Linked DNA regions of Caenorhabditis elegans. The protein of the gene in region 1 binds, or shares a complex with, the protein of each later gene. Each region holds a gene or a part of one and is shown on either strand. Other genes may lie near its edges. The genes, in order: gplb-1 and gpla-1. A codon is read from its position in the direction of its gene.

What was found.
Region 2: the proteins of gplb-1 (region 1) and gpla-1 are in contact, whole or in part, in a crystal structure (PDB 8ENF), measured with the Caenorhabditis elegans proteins. Residues at the interface, in NP_001367962.1 of Caenorhabditis elegans: Val30 (codon at 7,441), Phe33 (codon at 7,450), Leu52 (codon at 7,507), Pro53 (codon at 7,510), Phe54 (codon at 7,513), Cys55 (codon at 7,516), Lys56 (codon at 7,519), Gly57 (codon at 7,522), Tyr58 (codon at 7,525), Cys59 (codon at 7,528), Lys60 (codon at 7,531), Thr61 (codon at 7,534), Ser62 (codon at 7,537), Glu63 (codon at 7,540), Ser64 (codon at 7,592), Gly65 (codon at 7,595), Thr66 (codon at 7,598), His67 (codon at 7,601), Gly68 (codon at 7,604), Pro71 (codon at 7,613), Arg72 (codon at 7,616), Gln74 (codon at 7,622), Ser76 (codon at 7,628), Lys77 (codon at 7,631), Val78 (codon at 7,634), Cys79 (codon at 7,637), Thr80 (codon at 7,640), Leu81 (codon at 7,643), Thr83 (codon at 7,649), Val105 (codon at 7,715); in NP_505998.3 of Caenorhabditis elegans: Asn36 (codon at 5,793), Glu45 (codon at 5,711), Ile47 (codon at 5,705), Ile57 (codon at 5,675), Ile59 (codon at 5,669), Arg61 (codon at 5,663), Cys62 (codon at 5,660), Gly64 (codon at 5,654), His65 (codon at 5,651), Cys66 (codon at 5,648), Phe67 (codon at 5,645), Ser68 (codon at 5,642), Phe69 (codon at 5,639), Thr70 (codon at 5,636), Phe71 (codon at 5,633), Pro72 (codon at 5,630), Asn73 (codon at 5,627), Pro74 (codon at 5,624), Leu75 (codon at 5,621), Lys78 (codon at 5,612), Tyr79 (codon at 5,609), Val81 (codon at 5,603), Ala83 (codon at 5,597), Cys85 (codon at 5,591), Cys86 (codon at 5,588), Arg87 (codon at 5,585), Met88 (codon at 5,582), Trp91 (codon at 5,573), Leu107 (codon at 5,149), Arg108 (codon at 5,146).

The regions. Positions count from the first base shown.
Region 1 is NC_003283.11:8,466,067-8,477,847, reverse strand, and holds gplb-1 (Glycoprotein hormone subunit beta domain-containing protein), read left to right. Parts: upstream 1-6,815; 5' UTR 6,816-6,842; coding exon 6,843-6,884; intron 6,885-7,395; coding exon 7,396-7,542; intron 7,543-7,591; coding exon 7,592-7,780; downstream 7,781-11,781. Other genes in the region: phf-30 (PHD-type domain-containing protein), read right to left, coding at 7,893-7,982, 8,033-8,203, 8,252-8,311, 8,363-8,578, 8,628-8,795; mrpl-4 (Large ribosomal subunit protein uL4m), read right to left, coding at 9,016-9,091, 9,709-9,953, 10,005-10,583; mrps-2 (Small ribosomal subunit protein uS2m), read right to left, coding at 10,822-11,154, 11,460-11,660.
Region 2 is NC_003283.11:11,931,891-11,944,251, forward strand, and holds gpla-1 (Bursicon), read right to left. Parts: upstream 5,916-12,361; 5' UTR 5,899-5,915; coding exon 5,775-5,898; intron 5,720-5,774; coding exon 5,565-5,719; intron 5,189-5,564; coding exon 5,096-5,188; 3' UTR 4,617-5,095; downstream 1-4,616. Other genes in the region: aman-2 (Alpha-mannosidase), read right to left, coding at 1-163, 211-313, 361-814, 857-1,177, 1,227-1,337; F58H1.3 (Enolase-phosphatase E1), read left to right, coding at 2,088-2,165, 2,229-2,365, 2,418-2,496, 2,545-2,615, 2,672-2,804, 2,848-3,096; F58H1.8 (uncharacterized protein), read left to right, coding at 3,259-3,375, 3,428-3,524, 4,037-4,338, 4,419-4,616; F58H1.6 (EGF-like domain-containing protein), read left to right, coding at 11,071-11,114, 11,857-12,072, 12,120-12,361.

The DNA.
Region 1 (11,781 bases):
CGAACAATTGGTCTACTCTGAGATCTTGGATCCAAAGAATCCAAAGACAAAGAATGATAAAAAAAGAGCCAATTAAATCAATCATTCCAAGAGCTGAACCGCCTCTAGAAGAAGGCACCTTCCTGTTCGTCAGCACGGCCGATCTCCCATTCGAGTCATTCATTCCATACACAAAGACTAACTCTCTAAGAAAGTTGGTACGCATCGTACATCGTATCCTAAACATGTTATCAAAACCAGAGTTATGCTCTAGGAGAAGTTGGGACTCTACAGTGATGAAAGAACTTCAAGCGATTAAAGCCAATAACAGCACTCAAATGCTACTCAAACGGGCGCTAGCGCGAAAACTGATTATTCTACATCACTACAGAGAATCTGAAGAGCGCGAACTAACGTTCCCAAAGGATCTCGTTCTCTACGTACAAGCACGGACTCCACCGAGTCAGGAAGCAAGCGCAATCGGCGGTCCTTCCACAGGAAGCCAATGAACCCGTCTTGATTCACAGAAAGCATGCACTGGCAACTCTTATTGTCCGAGAGACTCATGAGATCAATGGTCACCTACCAGAACAATACACTCTGTCGGCCCTGAAGACTATGTATTGGATTCCACTGTGCAAAGCCCTGGTACGCTCCGTCATCTCCAATTGCATTAAATGCAAAAAGGTGTTCGGACTGCCATATCCGTACCCGAATACCAAACAGCTTCCAGGATGCCGAACGGAGCCGTCGAAACCATTCGCAAAAGTTGGTCTGGATTACCTTGGTCCAGTCGAGTATCTCCGAGATGATCAAGAGTCAATCGGTAAGGCATATGTCCTGCTTTATACGTGCCTAGTCACTCGAGCCGCAGTCTTAAGAGTTGTGCCCGACGCTACAACAGAATCCTATCTCATGGCTCTTCGAACGATTTTCCATCAAGTCGGCGTGCCCTCTGAGGTACATTCTGATAACGCGGCCATCTTCAAGCTCGGCGCAAAAATGACGAACGACGATATTCGCGAAGGCTCCGAAATCGACGAAATCTTCACCTGCTTTCTTGCGTCACAAGAGATCAAATTCATCTACATCACTCCGTGGTCACCATGGCAGGGAGGGGTTTATGAAAGAATCATTGGACTATTGAAACATCAAATTCACAAGATTTGCGGCGATCAAAAACTCGATTTCTTCAGCTTGCAATACGTCGTATCGAGCGCTCAGGCTATGATCAACAACAGACCTTTGGTTGCTCACGCTCGTTCTCCAAACGACATGATCACCTTACGTCCAATGGATTTCATGATCCCAGGAGTCATGATTGAAACTCCAAGAACGCCGGCCGACAGTCCAACCACTAGCACGACTGAAACTCGTACCCGAGCCCATCTGGAAAAGTTCGAATCAGCCCTGGAACGTCTATGGACCATCTGGACATTTGGAGTCATGCTCATTCTGCGTGAAGTTTCGCATAAGCACAAAAGATGCTGCGATCTGAAACCGGAAGTTGGAGACGTCGTGATCATCAACCCGAACAACGTCAGTCGCCACAGATGGCCCCTAGCCTTAGTAGTGCAAGTAAATCAATCTAAACGAGACGGTGAAATCAGAACGGCAGTCGTGCGGTGCAAAGGAAAACTGTACAAAAGGTCAGTCTGTCAGCTCATCCCACTGGAGACGAGCCGCCAGAACATTCGACATGGTACAGGACCTGACAACGACACTCCCGCCAACGACACCAACAACGACACGGACAAGGACACCGCTGGCAGCGACCAGTGCAGATCCTGCCCCACACTGCCCACACCAGCACTCTTAGATTTCGAAAACTCACACCTTGCGCAAGAGGCGTTCCCAGCCCAAATTCTCCCGAACATCGGTGAAGAACCTAGAGATATCACTCTGGATAGGTGGAAATCACACGACGCTATTGGGCCTGAGATAGATATTTTTGAAGGACCCGACTACGACACTAACAACCCGCTCTTCCCCGAAGATGGGGAGGATGAAGACAGACCAGTTGAATACGTGGACCCCAACACGGCGATCCCCGAGATAGCCTACGACCACGCAGAGACTAGACTGCCACACGGTCGTACTAGAGAATATCTCGGTCGAAAAGCTAAGGCCCCGTATATCAACTACAATCACGCCGAGATTACTCGCGTCTTGTCGAATCCTTCACCCCCGGAATGTTGTCGATTCCCCGTAATCCCTCAGGAATCTCTCAACCTAAAGGACTTTTAGGACTGAGAGATTGGCTCCCTCACTCACCATCTCTCAGTCGTCCTTTATTTCCCAATTAGCTGAGTGTGTTTTCCCCTAAAATCCATTATTCAAAAAGCCGCCATTCTGTCCAGATGCAAACGCGCCCCACTGAACGCCGTGCAGCGTTATAGCGGAGTATCGTTTGCGCGGTACAGATGATTCGGTTTTTATAGTAAGCGACACAGATTAACTCTTCCTTCTACTTTTTCCGAAATATATATATTTTTAATGAGTTTTTCCATATTTTCTCATTCCGTAAATTCGTGTAGACACAGATCTACACGATCCGGTCCCTTTTTGCCCGTTTGCACGTCTTCAAGTCCACTTCCAACGTCAATCCCTAAATTTGGGCCTAAAATATAATTTATTTTTATACTTTCTTTATTATATTCAATCCACCCAAAACAACGGGAATGGATAAATAAACTTGAATTCGTGTAATAATTGTGTTCTGTTATTAAATCCTCACAACATGCTTATCCGCGCGTCCTTCGATATTATGCTCCGAGTCCATCCGCGCGAATTGACCGTCAGTGGGTTTCCGACTCCCTTCGATTAGCTGACGTGTCAACAAACTTTGTAGTTGATCACTTTGTCATAAAAAATTATTACACTGAGATATCAGCATCCGAAGTGAGTGCGTTTTTTGAATTTTGAGGTTCTACTATACCTCAGGTTTTAGTCAGAATTCGTGTTCAGAACATCTAAACTAGATAAACTACAAACATTGCATTTTTCTATAACATCTGATCAAATTTTGAAATGTTTTCAAAAAAAGTTTTGAAAAAAATTTTGAAAATTTTTGTAAGGGGTAAAAAAAAAAAAAAAAACCTCATTGCCAACTGTCCTATGCTAAAACCTTTGCAATATGCTTATGCTGACATTTTGAATATGCTTATGCTGACGTGCGCTTATGCTGACAAGAGCTCTCACGAGAATTTCGTGATCCAAAAAACACATTGAAAGCTTATATCAGGACACTTGACGACGTAAAAGAAAACTGAACCTATCCAGATTCGAACCAGCAATGACTGTATCTGAAGACCGTGCCCTTAACCACTACACCAAAAGGGCGAGAGGTGCGCGCGTTCTCAAGGAATATATGAAATCAGTCGAGCTGTATGACAACTAGAGCTTCTCTCGATTGGAAGATATCTAGTACTTGAAAATGTGTTCATAAAGATTGGAACTACTACAGAATAAGTCATTAAGTTATTTTCTGTTCCTATTGTTCAGTTTCTACAAGAAATCTATTCCACATTGACTTTTGTTGTGAATTTGAACCTTCCGTTGACCTAAAATACTTCTGGAGAGCTACTTTTTTCGAGAGTATTCTTAAGTTTTCTACAAATTCAACTTGTTGGATAATCGGGAACTTCTCTGATTCCTCGAAAATACTGTTTAAAAAAAAATTTTGGCCTAAATTTTTTTCCTCAAAAACACCTTCATTCTGGTATTTTCTAGGAGCATATGTCATCTGTATTGTTTAATATTTTTTTGTTGCTTCAAAAGATCTGTTTTTGTGCTAAAAAAAGAACTTTTTCGTTGATTTTTGCATTTAAAAATATACAAATGTCGTCGAATTAAATGCACGATACGCAAAGGTACGCAAACACCGATGTGTACCGTACTCCGAAATGTTTTTAATTTCCATGTTTTAAATTAAGAAAGCGACAAAAATGAGAGTTTTAAGCACAAAAACAGAGCTTTTGAAGCAAAAAAATTTATTAAACAATACAGATGGCATATGCTCCTAGAAAATACCAGAATGAAGGTGTTTTTGAGGAAAAAAATTTAGGCCAAAATTTTTTTTTAAACAACAGTATTTTCGAGGAATCAGAGAAGTTCCCGATTATCCAACAAGTTGAATTTGTAGAAAACTTAAGAATACTCTCGAAAAAAGTAGCTCTCCAGAAGTATTTTAGGCCAACGGAAGGTTCAAATTCACAACAAAAGTTAATGTGGAATAGATTTCTTGTAGAAACTGAACAATAGGAACAGAAAATAACTTAATGACTTATTCTGTAGTAGTTCCAATCTTTATGAACACATTTTCAAGTACTAGATATCTTCCAATCGAGAGAAGCTCTAGTTGTCATACAGCTCGACTGATTTCATATATTCCTTGAGAACGCGCGCACCTCTCGCCCTTTTGGTGTAGTGGTTAAGGGCACGGTCTTCAGATACAGTCATTGCTGGTTCGAATCTGGATAGGTTCAGTTTTCTTTTACATCGTCAAGTGTCCTGATATAAGCTTTCAATGTGTTTTTTGGATCACGAAATTCTCGTGAGAGCTCTTGTCAGCATAAGCGCACGTCAGCATAAGCATATTCAAAATGTCAGCATAAGCATATTTCAAAGGTTTTAGCATAGGATAGTTGGGGTTTTAGCATAGGATAGTTTTTTGAAAACTTTTCAAAATTTGATCAGATGTTATAGAAAAATGCAATGTTTGTAGTTTATCTAGTTTAGATGTTCTGACTAAAACCTGAGGTATAGTAGAACCTCAAAATTCAAAAAACGCACTCACTTCGGATGCTGATATCTCAGTGTAATAATTTTTTATGACAAAGTGATCAACTACAAAGTTGTTTATCTTAATATAAAGTACAATTTTGTAGTTAATAGTTTTTTATCAAAAAAATTGTTGGTTGAGATATGAACAGAAAAAGAAGAAGAAAATACAAGCATGAAGGTGCCGAACTTTACACAACTTTATCTCGACCAACAAATTTTTTGATAAAAGACATTCAACTACAAAGTTGTACTTTAGATTAAGATAAACAACTTTGTAGTTGATCACTTTGTCATAAAAAAATTTTCAACGGAGATATCAGCATCCGAAGTGAGTGCGTTTTTTGAGCTTAGGGATTCTACTATACCTCAGGTTTTCGTCTGCAATCGTGTGCAGAACATCCAAACTAGAAAAAACTACAAACATTGCATTTTTCTGATCAAATTTTGAAAAGTTTTCAAAAAAAATTTTGGAAAATTTTATTAGATAGAGGTAGTCAAAGAGCATTTGAAGGAAGTCAATGAGCATTTATACATCAGATCTCATCTCCATTTTTCCGGAATTTCAGGAAATGAGAAAGAGCACAACCTTCTTAGACATCAAAAACTAACATGTTCTTGAAATTTCTGATTGCGGCGGAAAAAACTGAAAGCGGAAAAAAACTGAAAATTCTGAAAAATTAGATAAAGGTAGTCAATGAGCCGAAAGGTAGTCAATGATCTAAGGTAGTCAAAGAGCAAAAGGTAGTCAATGAGCCGAAAGGTAGTCAATATTCTAAGGTAGTCAAAGAGCAAAAGGTAGTCAAAGAGAAGGTAGTCAATGAGTGTTTGCCACAAAAACTGGACAATTAAACAACTAGTAGCTTAAGTTGACAAGTTGCAATGTACATCCTCTTCTCATTTCGATAAATCAAAAGTTTTGATGAAAACGAGGTTCCTGAAAAAAAGCGGTGTGACAGGGAATTTGCGGAAATAAAAAAAAAATTATTATACTTCAGTTCTTTTTCTTTACGAATTAATCACAAATGTGTTTAATGTAAGAACAATACATGATGCAGAAAAATGTCCATATACTACTAGTAAACTAGAAAATGTCAGCAAGTTAGTAAATCTGAGTTCAAAGTAAATGAACTATTTCTTAGTAAATGACTGAGAGTAAAAAATGAGTAAATTAGACCTTGAAGTAAATGAACTCTTTTTCAGTAAACGAGAGAAAGTGAAATCGCTAGTAAATTAGACGTCGAAGTAAAAGTGCCACTTACGTAAACGAGTGATTTAGTAAATTAGACTATTAGTTAATGAGGGTTTGCCCTAATTTTTCTATGCACCTCCTTTTAGAATTTTCAGGAGAAAAATGGATTACTATATGAATCGCATTTCGAGAAATTCATAAATCTGAGATACATGTAACTGCTACAAAAATTTTCTCGAAATAATCTTGGAACTCTCGAATAAAACATTCAACAGGAAGAAAAAAGAAAGAAGAATATAAATTTAACAAATTTAATACTAAGAATTCGGTTTCAAAATTTAGGAATAGGGTATGTAATACATTGATTTCAAAAATTAAAAGTACGGGGAAAATTTTTTCGAGAAAGAAAATAAAAAATTTATGCAGAAAGTGATCATTATTTTGTTAATTGCAAAAAACATTATCAAGTTGGAAGATGTTGTCATAAAGTCATCAGAATGATTAGATTGATATGAATATATCTCATATATCAAAACTAAAAAGAATGGCAAATGGGTGTGGTTTTGACCACTGATTCTTCTCTCTGTCTTCTCCTTCTTTTTCTCTTCTTTTCCTTTTCCTTCACTTTTTATCCAAAATTCATTGTTTCTGAAAATGTGATGCTCCGGAGATGAATTTCTTGCCTTCTCGATTCCAAATTAAATTCTTCCCGCCCGTCTTTTCGTGCAATCTGGAGCTGTGAGCGTCTTTTTTGTTGGTGAAAACAATGTGTTCTGGTGGTGGGTGTGGTGCTCTTTGGCATCTGCTAACAATTTCAAATTAGATCCACAACTATTTCTGAGCTCCTAGAACTATTTTTCATTGTTGACGTTAAGCTCTTTTGAAAAAAATGCTTATATTTCCCGTGATCACTATACTTCATATATTTTTGGTAACTTTTTGAAATATCTTCTAAAATGAATTTAATATGTAACAATATTCTAACAAAATTTTTAATATTGATCAGATAGTTTTTCCAAATTTAAGTATTAACCAGGCGCGAAATTTTCCGAATTTTAGGCCAAAAATACGGTGCCCGGTCTCGACACGAATTTTTTTATTAGGTAAAAATGGGTGTGTGCCTTTAAAGAGTACTGTAACTTTAAACTTTCGTTGCTGCGGAACTTTTGTCGACTTTTCATAGCTATTAGATAAAAATAAAAAAATATTCAATATTTTCAACAAATCTTTAGAAAAACTATGTAAAATCGATAAAAATTCTGCAACAAAAATTTGAAGTTACAGTACTCTTTAAAGGCACACACTCGATTGTATTTAACAAAAAAAGTCGTGTCGAGACCGGTTACCGTAATTTTTGCGCAAATCGGAATAATTTCGCGCTTGGGTAATAAGCATCACATCTCCAACTAATTTAAAAGCAAAAGTGTGATTTTTAAATTCAGATTTCGGTTGAATCTGGAAAAGAATGCGAGTTTGCAATGCGATTGGTCCCAGGATTCAATCCACTTCGTCAAGTTGATGCAAATGGAAAAGAATGCCGAGGAAACGTGGAATTGCCATTTTGCAAGGGTTACTGTAAGACTAGCGAGGTGAATTTCCTTTTTTTTCCGATTCAAAAATAATCCAATTAAATTTCAGAGTGGCACCCATGGCTTTCCACCACGAGTTCAAAATAGTAAAGTGTGCACATTGGTCACCACTTCAACTCGAAAAGTAGTTCTTGATGATTGTGATGATGGAGCCGATGAGAGTGTCAAGTTTGTAATGGTTCCACATGGAACTGATTGTGAATGTTCTGCAGTTCCACTTGAACAACATCATTCATAAATTATCATACATTCATTCAAAAATTCATCGAATAAATAAAAGTTTTGTGTATGCTTGTTTTAATCAAATACAGGGTTAATTTTTAATATAAATAGATCGTGGAATAATCAATTCACAATTTTGTCGTTCTGTCTCGTCCCATTTTCATTCGTTTCGCATCAAGTTTCGCTGGACTTGGGGATCGTGACCGATTGGAGTCTATCTGAAAAATTTCAAAAAGGTGAAAGAAAAAATGACTTTCAAGAAACTCACAACTTTCTTTGAAACGAGACATGTTTTGCAGTAATATTTGAAACTAGGTTCCGATGCTTCTTCAATCGAAACTGTAGGGATACTGCATGCCATGTGGTAACAATCTCGACATCTTCTACAAGCGAGAACTTGATTTCCAGCTAATGAGACTCCGTGGCATACTGCACAGGGCTGGAAAATATATATTTATGATAACATTTGTTTATTTAATTATTTTACCTGTTCACTTGTACAATAGATTGAATCGTCAATAACTGGCACTAGTTTCTTCAATTTCTTCTGAAAACATAATTTATTTTGAAAATAGATCCAAAATTAAAAATCCCTTACCATTCCACCAGGAGCAGAGGACGATGAAGCACCAGACTTGTCTATTACAAATCCAGATTTATTTAAAATCTGTGGAGGAGCATACATCAATCGTTGAGTTCCGGCAATTCGTTTTTGTGGATTCAGCATATTTGGATTGAGTTTCGAAACATTACCCGAATCCATTGTGAAAGAATCTGTGTAAAAGTTGTTTGTGCTGGAAGAAAGTGACCATGTCTGAAAAAATGGATGAGATATTGATTTCACAATTCATATTTCATGAAACCTTGGCAACCAATTCAGAAAATTCTTTATCAGTGCTTTTATCGATAGATTTCATAAACTTGATGAGTGTCGAAATGTATGCATTCGCATCGAATTTTTCTTCTTCAGGAGATTCTGACGTGTCTTGTTTCTCATCAATCATCAGAATATCATCATCAACGTCTGTCATCTTTATTTAAAATCTGAAAATTTTTGATTCGTTTTTTTCTCATTGGTGAGAACGAGGAGGAAATAGAACGGATTGAACTTTGAACAATTTTTGAAACATTTTGAATAGAAATTCTGTATTTTTATTTTCAGGATACTTTTATAATAAGAATAACAATCAAAAACAAAAAGAAAAATAAGCCTATTAAAAATTCTAAATTACAAAAAAACAAAATATCGAATCAAACAACTGGTGGCATCAATGGATCCTCTTCTGCTTCCGCCTCTTGAAGAATCTTGTCCTTGTAGTCCATATATCTGAAAATTTCCCATTTATCTCTAAAGTTCTTTGGGAGTAATTTTTTCACTTGTGTAGTGGCTTTTCGATTTTTTCTGAGAAAATAAAAACTGCAAAATCTAAAACAAATATGTTCGATTTTTAAAAATCGGGGAACAAAATGTTCGGGAAGTTACCCATAAAACGCAATTCTAACTTTGTTTATGCTGATGACTATTTCTCGAAAAATCAAAAATTCGTTTCGAAATATCGGAAAAATGAAAACTAAAAACATTTTTAACCGGTTACCTTGGTATTATTTTGTTTTTTTTCGTTTACTTTTATTTCTATTTTTTTCAAAATTTTTAAAATATTGTTTTTCAATAAGTTTCATTTCAAGAAAAAAGCGTTGCTGCTACACCAGGGCTGTATCCTTATTGGTTATTTTGGTATTTTGACGAAAAATTGATTTTTTGGTTTTGAAACCAAAAAACCGAAACATTTTTCAATTATCAGCGTTTTTTGAAAAGTAATTCAATTTTTTTTGGTTTTTCGCAAATTTAAATTGTTTTGTTTTTTGATCCAAAATTATTTTTTTGGTCCCAGCCCTGTGCTACACAAGTGACGTTTTTTAATTGTTAATTTTCCAAATATTAACCTGTATTTCTTATTCATCGGCCCAGCTCTATGCATTTGTGTGAGAAGTCGTTCTTCAACTCTTTCCAATGCACTTCGTGACAGAACAATAGTATCGTATTTCATTAATGAGAAGCAATTCAGACCATACACTGGCATCACATTGAGCCACGGAAGAGCTTGTTGAGCTTCAGCAAGTCCACCGCTAATCTCATCACAATCATCAACGAAAAGAACAGAGTATCCGTAGTTTCGAGCTTCGCAAAGCTGGAATTTTTGAAATTAAAACAGAAAATGATTTTTCTATAGATAACTTACATCAATCCAATATTTAGGGTCTCCATTCTGTAAGTTTTGAATTTTGTCAACAATATGCAAATCGTCTTGTGTGTGCTTTAGAGTGAGAGCAACACAAAGTCCCTGAATTCTGACTGCGTCTGGAAGCATGTAGAACCACGTTCTCGGTCCACGAACACCATTTGCGAAACCTCCTCGAATAAATTGTGGGGAACGAATAGAACCAACGTGAGCCCGTCCAGTCTTCTTTTGAGGCCACGGCTTTCTACCCCCTCCGGGCATTTCAGCTTTTGTCAACATTTTCGTCATTTGCACATTTCGATATACACTTTGCCACGTGAGGTTACGGTGTAGAATATCGATACGCGGTGATGTTCTGAAAATGTCTGGATGGAGATCCACGAGTCCGAGCTTCTCATCTTCGATGGTATCCAAATTTGAAACCCAAGCTTGTGGAGTTTTGATGAATGGATTTTCTGGTTTTCGCCATAATTCTCTTCGTGTATCGATGGATTCGCCAGATGAAGTCGAGGAAACATCCTGAACAGCCGATGAGAATGCTCGACTTGAAATTAAAAAACGCAGCTGCCTGGAGAGCATCTGAAAAGGGATAAGGTGTATAAATAATTTTAAAAAACCAAAAAAAAAGAAAGATATGTTCTAACACTGTTCGTTTACAGTAGTGATTCAAAATTACGATTTGAAAGCAATATTTTGATTTTTTAAATAGGTAAACAACTGGATATTTAGAAAATGAAGAAACAATCAGAAAACAAGGAAAACAAAAGATCTAATCAAAAATTTTGAAATCTTGAAACTAAATACTAAAAATTAAAATTTATTTTCCTTGCTGCTGACGTTTTCGTTCTTCTTGTCCTTTTCGAACGGCTTCCTTGAACATTCTGAGCAAATATTCAGTGGATTGTGGTGTATCATCGTTTGCAGGAACCAAATATGTCAAGTAAGCCGGATCCGAATTCGAGTCAACTACTCCAATTGTGGGAATCGCCATTTTTGCGGCTTCAACGATGGCTGGATGGTTTTCGCCGAGTGATGTGAGGGTTGACAGGAAGCAGACAGCATCTGGAAGTCGAACTGAAGCTCCGAGAAGTTGTCGAGTGTTCGTTAGAGTTCCTGATTGCCACTTTCGAACGTGAGAGTATTGCCCAACCTGGAAAATAACACCTTTTCAAATTTTTTTTTGTAAAATTTTTTTGCTTGATTTTTAAAGATTACTGTTTAAAAGACATACATTTTTACAGTAACATTCACAACTAGAAAACAATGGTGAATATTTTCTGAATAAAAAAAAACAGCTCAGGATCGCAAATTCCGCAGAAACAAATAATCTCGCAAGATTATTAATTATCGGATCAAAGTATGTTCACATCACTGCTGTTATGAAAACTCGAACCATGAATCATTTTCCAATAGATTGGTGTTCTCACCCCTACACCACCATGCACACTGTCTCACCTCATCTGCTGCCTTCTCAACATCAAACATGGTGTCTCGATTGGAAGTGACAAAAAGAATCATTCCACCGCGCAATGACACATGAGCAACGAAATTTAGAGCTCTGACGAGATATTTTTTGGTAATATCGAGGTCGAAGAGGCAAACTCCAAGACGTTCACCGTACAGGGCCCACTTCATATTGTTGTTTACTGTTCCGACCTAAAAAAAATTATATTAGTTGTTAATTCAACTTCTCAAGCTTAAAATAAATTTTAAAAAATGCGAAAAAATCCCGAAGTTTTTTTCGTAATTTTCCAGTGCAATTTTCGAAGAAAAGAAA
Region 2 (12,361 bases), 3.5 Mb from region 1:
GCAAACAGACGGTTCTGGGCCACACGTATGAGGTATATCGTAAGAGTAGAAAGGCATAATATGTGAACGAAGATCAGGATGTCCAGTTGATCCAAATAATTGTCTCCAGTAGAATTCAAGATTCTTTTTCAGAGCAAGCTCACGTTTCACCGAATAATGAACTCTGGAAATTGAAAATATTTTACTATTTTTAAAAAATAATGTTCATACCTTTGAATTACAGCATTGGTTATATTAGCAGAAGTTAGAAGATGTGGCATTGATGGTGATAAACCGAATGGATCAATTGACCAATGAGATTGTGGAATGGCGCCTAAATATTCAATTTATGCAATATTCAAAAAAAAAACTTTTACTCACTTTTTCCCAAATGATTTTGAATCCATTCATGTCCTTCGAACAATTCAGTGATCATTGAGTGATAATGTGCATTAGCTTCATCTGTCATAACCCATCCGCCAGTAACAATTTCAAACTTTCCTGCTTCCAAATATCCTTTAACTTTCTTTTTAATTTCATCTGCCTGGTCTCTCCACCAAGTTTCGAAAAATGATATTTCTGCATATATAAACCGCATTTCGTCTTTTTCTGCCAAATGTTTAGCCATTCCATCAAGAATATTGCGAGTTTGTCTGTTGTAATACTCTTCGAAAGTCATAATCCATCCGGGATCACAATGAGAATGAGGTATCACAATAACTTCCAAACGTGGAAGAGATTTGACTTTCTCTGCATCGTATTCAATTTTCCATCCTTGTTTCCATACACCTCCGTCTGGATTTTCGAACTTCCAGGTGTCATAGAGATCGAGCATCTTAAAAAAACAAATTTTATTAAAATATAAATAAAATTCTACCTGCAGGTCTGAATGAGCAATGCTGACGTTTTCTCTAATTCCACAAACATCTTTCATCGATGGAGTTGGCTTGATATGTTGCTTTACTTGATGAATATGAGCCATTTCACCACGATTTCCTCGAACTGGAACTGGTGCAACTTCTTTTTCCTCTTTTTCTACTTCTTTTTCTTCCGTTTTTTCTTTTTCTTCATCAAAATCTACCGATTTTTCAGCTTTTGCTCGTTGAACTTCTTGTTCCAAGCGGTCTATCGTTCTTCCATTTTCTTCTGCTACATGCTCCAAATTTCCGATTTTCCGCCGTAAATCATCTACATATCTCTGAAATAAATTTAAGTCATATTATTATAATCTTAATTTGAAAACTTGCTTGTCGTTTGGTGAGCGCTTCAGCTCCGGTTTCAATTCCATTGTACAAATAGAGTGATACGGTGAGAAAGACTCCCAAACATAGGATAATATAGAAATTGCGTTTTCCCATGCTTTATCTTGCCATCAGGCTGAAAATTATTCAGTTATATATGATAATCAATCAAAGACAAAATAAAACAGGTTCAGAAAATGTAACGGCATGTCCAATAAAATAAGTTGTTCTCTCCAATAAAATATGTGTTTACAATGGAGCGAGGTGGCATAGTACTGACCTCACTAAAAGAGGAATTGTGACTTTGGAGAACCACAGTTTCAAGAAAGAATTTTGTACTTAGCTTTTTAATTGTGATGTATTTAATAACATTCAAAAAGAAAATAATTGTAAAATTGTTATTTATTCAAAAATTCTTAAAATCATTTTCTAAATATACATAAATATGGCGAAACAATGTTCTCTGGAAATCCGTTTCTCCGGCACAGAGGTGTCTCGACACATTTTTTTCTCTCACAAAAGTATTGCACAAAAACCCTCTTAATTTCCTTTTTTTTGCATTTTTATGTGGTTTGAAACTATTAAAAATAACTAATTTAGTCAGAAAATAGGCCAAATGTCTACATCATATTTTCAAATATTAATAATCGTCAATATTGCGCTCTTATCAGTAGTTTATCGTCTATCTTTGCAAAGTTCCTTGCACTGTCTTTTATTCACAATCAATATTCATCTATTTTAATGTCATCTCTTTTCTGGTTTCAAAAATCATGACAAAAACGAAAACAACCATTTTTCTTCATCACTTTCACTACTAATTTAGTTCAAAATAGCCCAATTCTTGAAAATTCCAGCCGCATTCCAGTCATGACAACCACTACTATTCAATTCAACGCGCTGCTCCTAGATATTGAGGGTACAATAACCAGTATCTCCTTTGTTAAGGTTATTTTTTCTTCTATTCTATTTCTTCCATTTGATTATCAATTAAAGTTTTTATTTTTACAGGATGAGCTTTTTCCATACGCGTTCGAGAACGTTGGAAATTATTTGGAGGAGCACTACGACAATCCAGCAACTCAAATAATTGTTGAAGATTTGAGGCACATTGCAGACCAACAAGCGGAAAATGATGTGGCAGTTGTGTTAGTATTTAATTTGCACAGCTTGTTTTTATCGAATTTATGTACTTTACAGGCGGATCCGCGAACCAAGAAAGGAATGCATTGAGGATGTAACAAAAAATGTCAGACACTGGATAAAAAGAGACAAAAAAGTTTATAGAGTATTTGAGAAAAGGTGTTTAAAATTCAATATTTTCCAGCTGACACCAATGAAAGCTCTCCAGGGGCTCATTTGGGAAGAGGCTTACCAGCGCGGAGATGTGAAAGGACAGTAAGTAAAATCGACAATAAATAAGTAACACGTATTGTATAATTTTACAATTTCAGTGTATATCCGGACGTTTTACCAGTTTTGAAAATTGTTGAAAATAGAAAAATCCCGATCTACATCTACTCATCGGGATCGGTCCACGCTCAAAAGCTCTTGTTTGCCAATTCAATTGAAGGAGATATGACCAAAGTATAATATTCTTTCCACAATCCATTTTAATGTTTTCTTTCAGATTCTCTATGGCTACTTTGACACAAATATCGGTCTGAAGGGAGAAAGCAATTCATACACGAAAATCAGCGAGCGAATTAAAATTCCTCCCAGTGAAATACTATTCCTGACTGATGTTGAAGCAGAAGCGGCTGCTGCCAAGAAAGCTGGGTTACAGACAAAGTTAGTAGTTCGTCCTGGAAATGCGGGTCTAACACAAGAAGCTATAAACGCCTACGGAACCATTGAAAGTTTGGAAGAAATTTTGTAATTCTTTGTATTCATTGTATTCTTTCCTGAAACATTGTTTGGAGATCTTTAATAAAGCCTTCGGTGTAAAAATTGGTTTTCTAGCTTATTTCGAGTTTTCATTGGTCTCATAAATATATTTACAGCTTTTTTGAATATTCAAAACTCCGAATTTGAATTCAGAATGATAATACGGTGTTTTCAAAATTTAAATCAAAGTTCATTGCATCTATATCGAGGAATTTGTACTTCTCGTCCGTCTTCAAGCGTTTTCGATAAAATTAAAAATTTTCTACTGGCTGTAAGTTGAAAATATTGAAAAAAACTTTGAATAAAGATTAAAAAAATTGCAGGAAGAGCGAGAAAATTTCGATAGAGACAATATTCGAAAAGCCCACCAAAAAGACAACGTCGACGAAAAGGAATGGGCATTGATTTATAGAGATGTTGGTAAGATTTATGTTTTCAAAATGTAAAAAAAAGGTTATTCGACAGATTCAAAAAAATTTATTATCGAAAATAGTTTTTTGCTAAAGTGGACATTTCACTAATTACTAACAATGCATGTTCTCAAAACTCACTGTTCTACAAATATTCGGATTTTCCTATTCTCGATGAAATCCGGATTTTTTTTTCGAAAACAGAAAGTGAAACAATTTTTTTAACACGAAAAAAAAAACGATTTTTTGCTTAAAAACATTATCAGAAAAAGTTTAAAACTTTGCCCAAAATTGCATGTTTTTCCAAAATAATTTTGAAATTAGAATTAAAAAATTTATGAATGTTTCTGTTTATCAGAATTTTTGCTCACTTCTTTTTCGAAAAAAGAGAAAACTAACATTTTCGCCATAATCATGCAAAAAATAAATATTTACAACCCTGAAGATGTCAAATAAATATATAATATTTATGTCTGAATTCAAAAAATTACACTTTTTTTCTTGATTGTTCTTATTCTTCAGGAGCATCGAGAACATTTTACATGACTGCTGCTTTTGTTCCATCCTTCATCGTTGGCTCTTCAATTTTTGCTTTCGATGTCAATTCAAACAGTCCTGGAAATCGATTCGATTTTGTGCAGAAGCTAGTGACGGATTCAGAAGAACTTGGAGTTCTCATTGCACTTCCATCAGTTGCATTAGCAGTTGTATTTGCCTGTTTAATCCGTGTTCAGCAGTTACGACTAATTAGGATATACCAGAATAAAAATGACGCGGAGCAGTTTATGGCTATACGGTCGAAATTCATTGTTAAGCAGCACAAAGTGAGTTTTTAAAAATTAACTTTCGTTCTTAAAAAAAAAAACTATCTTGAACAAGATTAAACATTATTAAAAAATTCCAGGAGCTGTTCCGACGAGATGAAACAACTGGTTTCTACTTCGCAGATGATCAAACTGACGGTGTCCGAGTTGCAATGCATTTCTTGTTGGGAAATATTCAGATTGGAAGTCGAAAATCCATGATCATAGATGATATGTTTAGAGCAAACAATTATAGATCTTATATGCTAAACGAAACGAGTGTTCCTCCAAGGTTATAGGAAAAATAAAAGTTTATTAGGTTCTTTTTCATTTAATTAAAAATATTCCAAAAAAAGGACAAAGTACAAAGGTACAGTACATGAATAATGCACAATTCAAACTCATTTTCTGTTGGCTAGAGGTATCATTCAATCAACATTGTCAATTGTTTATTTCAATAAAGAACATTTTGTTTTTTGTTTGGCAGACAAGAAAATAGAATGAGAGAATGTGAGACGCAGAGAGATCAACTTGGTAATTTTGGTTTTTGTTCGGTTTCATTTGAGACAATTTATGTCAGTCATCCTTCTTTCGCTTTGATTTTTTGCATTTTTAGATGCCCGTATCAACGAGATTATTATAGAAATAATTAAGGGAACGAGATTTTATGGAAATGTGGATGAATGTGGCACTGGAGGAGAGAAAATAAATTAAATCTATTATGCAGGTAAAACTCAAGAGATTCAAGAATGAGAAATGAAAGAGATGGAAACTGCAACTATCGAACAAGACAATCAAAACATTCACATTGTGTTGCAGATGGTATTCGAAGATTTCGGTTTCCTTTGGAACATTTTAATTCTGTTTCAAGCTGAAAAATAAAAATTGATTCTTGGAAAACAATATTAAAACATCTCGTAGCGATACAGTAATTCTTTACATGACTACTGTAGCGCTTGTGACGATTTACGGGCTCGGCTTTCGAAATGAATTAATCATCAATTTTTCGATAGAATGTTTAAAAAAAAAACAAAAATGAGAAAGTAATACAGAGAAACGAAGGATATATCGCAAATCAAGTCCGTAATTCGACGCAAGCACTACAGTAGTTATTTAGAGAATTACTGTAGCTTTCGCTACGAGATTTTTTTTACATGTTGCGCAAAACACATTCCCAGAATTTTGGCTTCCGTAATAACTTTGTTATAAATTTTCAGAAGTCATTTCTGTAGTTAAAAAATACTAACCATTTCCCATTCAACCATCCGGCAGCACTTCGCATGCACTGAATATTTTTTCGTTAAGGGATTAGGAAATGTAAATGAGAAGCAATGCCCACTGCATCGATTGATTCGAATTATCATCAAATCACAGCCTTCTTCATCTATAAGTTCCTCCACTCCTGAAAAAAAAATTTAAAGGACACTGATCGAAGTTTAGTAGATTTCGTGACGTACCAACTTTTTTGCAACTATTATTCTTAGTAACACCTGCTGTGCAGTACTGTAATAAGCATGTCACAACAAAAACGCTTAAAAAACAACTTAAACGTCGTCGTGCTCGTGCTTTGGAGCCCATCATTTGAGAAGGTATAGGCTGAAAAGTTAAAAATAGAATTTAAAGAACACAGAAATTTTGGAATAGATCTTGAGTAAAAAGCGAGAAAAGATGGAGACTTTTGTGTCCTTATTAACGTGAATTTGATAAGGTTCTCTGCATTGGTTCCGTGAAACAGATTATAGTTGGTTCATACAACCGGACGAGATTATTAAAGTATTGAAAGAGATTGGTTTGCGGGATGAGTACTGTAGTTGTTCAATTAAATACATGAAAATGGATACATGCGAACCATGTAAGAAAATAAAAATAATACAAAGGTGTGGATGAAAACATTGGGAAAAGTATCGAATTTCCAGATGGAAAAAAGGACAACGAAAGCGGATATAGAAGCTAAATTCAGAGAAGAAACCTTGTTTTGCATTTTTTCGTCTTATCTTCATTATTTTCTTACAACACAGATGTTTCATCTCGTCAAGTTCGTCTGATCATTTGTGATTCATTATTTATTTTTAATACAAAAAAAAGCTTTGTTTGAATATTGAAAAATAGGATTCAAAACACAACCAAAGAACAGGAATGATTAGAAATACATTACATCATTTCTCGCATACTTTAGTAGGCTTGTTATTTCGAGTTTGCAAAAGTTTTTTTAAAGTTTATTTGTTAAATATTTGCTTCATTAGTATGACTGAAACAAAACCTTGAAAAAATTTCTTTACAACTATATGGAACAACAAACACAAGTGACCTACTGATAGAGAAACTACGGTATTCTGTATATTTTGAAACAAGTCAAACTCATATTTCTTTTATTAGTATTGACTTTATTACACCTATACTTAACTTTTCAAACTCCTTTACAACTTTCCCTCATGGTACTTGTTCGCTATCGCAATCGAGTCCATATTTAGCCTTAACCTATTTAGCCTTACTTTAATAATTTATATATCGGTTTATTTTACAGATTTTGAAAAATGATTCTTTAACAAACTGTAAAAGAAGTAACAATTTTCGTCAGCTGATAACATTTTCATATAACAAGCAAGACTTTTAGAAGAAACATGCTGCATGCAACACAAAAATTTACAGAACAGTTCATCCGAAAATAGTCACCTACAAAATTAGAATGACGATGTAGAACTCTGCTCTGTAATTGAAAATTACAGCGAAAAATGATAATTTTCGAAAAGTGAGCATTTTAATTCAAAGACTATAACAGTCTATGATTTGATTTGTTGGAGGTGAGCCTCAAGCTAAACTATTTCTAGTTTTGGCAAAACTTTTTAACTGGTAAACGGTTTTCAGAGCTAACAATTTTTAAAGCACAAGTCATCAAAAAAGTAAGTAGAACTACGTGTTATGCTTTGGCACATGTGTTAATTCTTATCGAATTCGTGAGTCTTGAAAAATCATGTTTCTATGAAAAAGAGTGAGTACAATATCAAATTCAACACCAGTGTCAAAAACCAATATCAAACACTGAAAAAGTCGGAAAAATCGGAAAATTAGAAAAATGAAAGGCAGAATGAGTGAAAGCTCACCGAGCACTGGAATAGTGCAACGAAATTAGCCTCAAGGTTTCTAATTTCTAACAAAGAGGCTTTTAAGGATTTCAAGAACAGTGGAACATGAGACATCAGAATTCTGATGACTTAGAAAAAAGGAACCGGTTAACCCTACATTTGAGACTGAACACACCCACTTCCCACGTTTCGATAAGAAAAAAAAATGAAAACGACGTCTTAAGAAGAATGGGTTTCGAATTTCAGTCAAAACATTCATATTCAATATGATATCCAAATATCCTGCTCCTCCTCTTCACACAGTAAACGATCGTTCTCGTTCTCTCTCAGTTTTTAGGATGAGAGAAGGACAAACACAAACACGTACTACGTCAGAAAATGTAGAAAATGACCAAGAAAACCGAGAAGAAAGATAATATGAAGGATGAATCGGAAAGAAAACAGAAGGAGAGCAACGATATGATGAGATTGGAAGACAAGAATGAAACAGAAGAGAGGACGCCCACCACTTGAGCCCTTGTTTCAAATGGTGCTTAACACATGCATCTTCCCGATATGGACGACGATGGCGTGAGAGGCAGTTTCTAAGATGCTTCGAGAATAAGATACAGCCGGATATGTACTATGACGTGGAATTAATTTATAATTAGACAGCTCAACAATTAACTTTGATAATTTTATACATTTACCGGTATCCTTTGTTATTTGATTACTTGCAGACTATTCAAATGAGTATAACCCCAAGCCCAAGAAGTATTTCTTGTGATTTTTTCTACATGTGCTCTGCAATAAATATAGCGGCAGACATCTTAGGAGTTTCTAGACCATCTCTCCTGGATTCTGTGTAACTCTAAAACTAAGCATTATTATCGTGAAAGACAATGACAGTAAACTGATCTTTATGTAATGTTACATGAATGTCTCTAATAAATATTGGTTATTTAAAAAAATTTTGATGTGCTCTTTGCATCAGCAATCGGCTCAGTAACTCTTTAAAAAATGTTGTCCAGAATTTAGCATGCGTGGGAAGATATTAGCTATGTTTCAAATCTATGCAAAATGAACCAATATTTCAATGACACAATTTAACATATTTCATATTAGGAAAATTTTGAACAAACGTAGCATAAGTTACTCTTTTTTTTCAAATGTTTGAAAGTTCAAAACTGGTCGCTCACATGTTATCAAAAGTACAGACGAAAAGAACGAAAAAAAGCGAGTTGTTGCAGTGATTCTCATCAAAATCGTATAGATGTCCGGATATTAGCCCAACTCTTTATCGATTTTTCTTGTATCCAGGAGATTTTTGGTTTAATTTCGATAGACCGATAATAGAGGAGACGTGTTGATTGTATGCGAAGTATAGAAACAAGAAACAAGAAACATAGAAACAACGTAGATATAATTACACAAAAATTAAAAAATAGCTCTGCCCACTGGGCTTTCTGCAGTTTTTTTTTTGGCAAAGAGGAACAGATTAAGATAATATCACACATTACAGTCACCTTCATAAAAATTAAACTAAAAAATGCGATGTTTTCTTCACTCAAAAACTTTCTAACTACAGACAATCTCAATTGGAAGTTGAAACTACTTTAGTACTAACGGAACCAGACACTACTAAAAGTTCAAAACCACACCTATGACTAAAAGCCCACACTTTTAAAGGTTTACATTTTAAATGAACATGAAATCATCTGTTGCACAAAATATGCTTTGAACATCCTCTAATACTCTACTAATATGGTTTAGTCATTGTTTATGTTTGATTTAAGTTTTGAAGATTTCTATGGTTAATAGCAAAACTGATAAACTTGAACTATTAAAATGGGAAGTTTACATTTGAAAAAGGAACCATGATTCACTGTTTTAGTCACAAGAATGGTTATTTTTGGAAGATCAGTTGCGAAAACAACACAAATTATTTTTTAAAAATTTAAAAACTTATTAACCAACTGATATTTAAAATTTTAGAATATTGGGAGGTTAACACACACGAAGCTGGCAAAAAAAACACAATAGAATATCTGAAAATAAATTTTTCAATCTTTTAACATACATCATATTTGAGACTGATGTCTATAAAATACTACGGTTTACTGATAAAATACATTAAGTAATGCTTCTTTGATTTGATGTTCATTTTTCTCAAAAATAGGTCAATTTTGCATTATTACACAATTTACACGTTTCAAGAATTAATGAATAATCCCGGAAACCATATATTCGGTCTTTGAATTCCCAAAAAAAAAACGATGATACAGAAGATGTAATGCTCACGGGAGAGTCAAAACAAGGACAACAGAAAACAATAGATGAGTGAAATGCAAAATATTGTTGAAATGACCACTATTAGATGAAATATTATAAACAATGGTCAACTGTACTAGAGACCCGACTAGATAATACTCATTTAGTTGATGATGCTGAAAATGGGAAGATTAGAAGAATAGGTGGAGAGTGTCTAAAAATAGCGACAACAGTGGCCGTTTCAGTCTTTGTCTTCTCAATTTCTCTGCGCCTCTTCTCACTGTCTACCATCTCATTCAACTCTTTTTCTGTATTATTATCAGTTAGCAGCTCCTCTTATCAATTTTGAATTTCGCGGGGCCTCTACTATCGCCACGAAATGATCTGTTCGAAATTAATGACGTAATCAAATTTTCCAAATTGCCAAAAAATCGGTTGCAGGTCAGAAAAATAATTGATAATAGCAAACATTTCACAAATGTTTTGGTTGGGCGAGTGAGTTTTTAATTAAAATTTAGATGGTATGGAATACTCTGGAAATTAGTTTTGAAAAAAATGATATAATTTTGTTGTGGATACAATGAAAAAACAACAAAAATATACAAATCCCTCGAGAAATGTCGAGAAAAATAATTATTTTTTAGCTTGTGAATTTGTCGCAAATGTACAGAAAACTATTTGTATACATGTTTTCGAATTTATTTGAAACATGGACCCCAAAACTGGTATCGGTACATTTTGAGTTGTAAACTTAAACACATTTTATTAGTTTTTTCAAACACAATTTAAAACAAAATAAAAATAACTTCGATGTGGACCAGAGAACATATTTTTATTTTATTCAATTTTAGGTGAACAACCTAGGAAGTGTTTAAAAAATGTAGAGATTTTTGTCCGGTTTGTAAGGGGAGTAGCCTTACCTTTTCTGATAGAATGCTTGTTCTGAAAATCTTAAACACCTTATTTTGTATTTGAAAAGAGAAGCCGTTTTCCTACGATGGAAAAAATTAATCAATGTTTGAACGATTAATTTTTATCTGTAGATCTTATAAACTTAAACGAGTTTTTCACTTTCTGCGACTAGACATTCTAAAGTGTACAGAAAAAACAAGATTTTCCATGAAACATTCAGAACGCTAAGTTACAGGGTTTGCAAACTTACAATATGCAAACTTATCAGCAATACTTTGAAGGGTAATATTTTCATTTCGAAAAAAAAACATTTAAAAAAGTGTTTTGTTTTCTTTAGTAAATATCGTTTCACGCGTGACCTTTGACTGTTTTGATTTTTAAAAGTTCCACGTAATTTTTCCACTCGGACTATCTCGCTTAAATTTCTTTCATATATTCTTCATTCCTCACTATTATTATTTCAACTTGACAACAAGTCCGAGATAAATAATCTACATCCTCATGCATCATGTCGAAGAACAACTCCACTGCAAACGCTACTGATCATAATGTGTAAGTTATGAATTCCTTTCCAGATGATGATTAATAGAAACTTAACTAATAGTAAATTAGAACAGTAAAATTCACCTCGTTTGTGTTAGTATCTCAATCAACAAGTTGTCAGGCACGTGAAAAGTTGAGCCTTATTTTTCCAATTGAAAAAAAAACGTGGAAATTATTTAACGTTTACTTTATAAATACAATGGAAAGTTAAAATATGAACATAATTTATAAATTTGAATCAGTTATTGTTGTTTTTAACTTTTCATAATTGCATTTATTTCTGCTTATTTTGATTTCCAAGAGACACTCAAACAAACAAAATTTTCGTATTTCACATGCGTCACTAACGTTTCCAGAAATTTTAAGTTTTCGTAAATTTAGAAGATATTTGCAGAACACTTGAAATTAATTCTAGAACATTCGGAAAGTTTCCAGATCATTTCGATATTCTTTGTATGAAAAAGGGTAAACTCTTGCCTTTTCTGTGATTAGTCTTGCACTAATAAAAAGCAATTGGCATTACACCATTAAAGTAAACACACTAAAGTACATAATTACGTTGTTAAATTTGAAACCTGGTAAATATATATATATATCATGTTTTAGATCTAATAACATAGTTATTTCATATAACAATAAATTTATTAATACAATTTTAAAGTGCAAATTTGAAAGTACATTTTGATAGTAACTGAGAATTGTCTATTTTTATGAAATGCATTCCATTCAACTCATATTAAAATAATTTCAGTGAAACTTGCACCGGGGACATCTGCAATGGGTTCGGAGAATGCAGAGTCCTGAATCCCGGAATGCTGATTGAAAGATTCGAGTGCATGTGTGATCTCTGGCACACTGGACAACTATGCCAGTATGATGTTCCCTTACCAATTGCGATCACTATCACCACTACATTGTTCACCTGGCTCATTTTGTTCTTCTTTTGGTACTCTTCGCGTCGTTTTGAGTATGTTTCATCTGATGATTACCTTTATTAGAACATTATTTTTTTAGGAAGAAGAAGATTCACTTTCCAAGTAGACGACGCCGTTTTGTGGATTATCTCATTAATGCACAGCGATCGGAAAAATTGGAACTAAATTCTCAACAACAACTTGGAAATAGACACTCGGGATCTAGCGAGTTGGTCAAGTCGGAAAGTCGGAAGAAAGCCAAAAGTTCTAACCAGAAAGAAAAAGTCAAGCCAGAGAAAAGAGGAAGAGCAACAGCAACCACTGGTGCCGGACCAACTATAG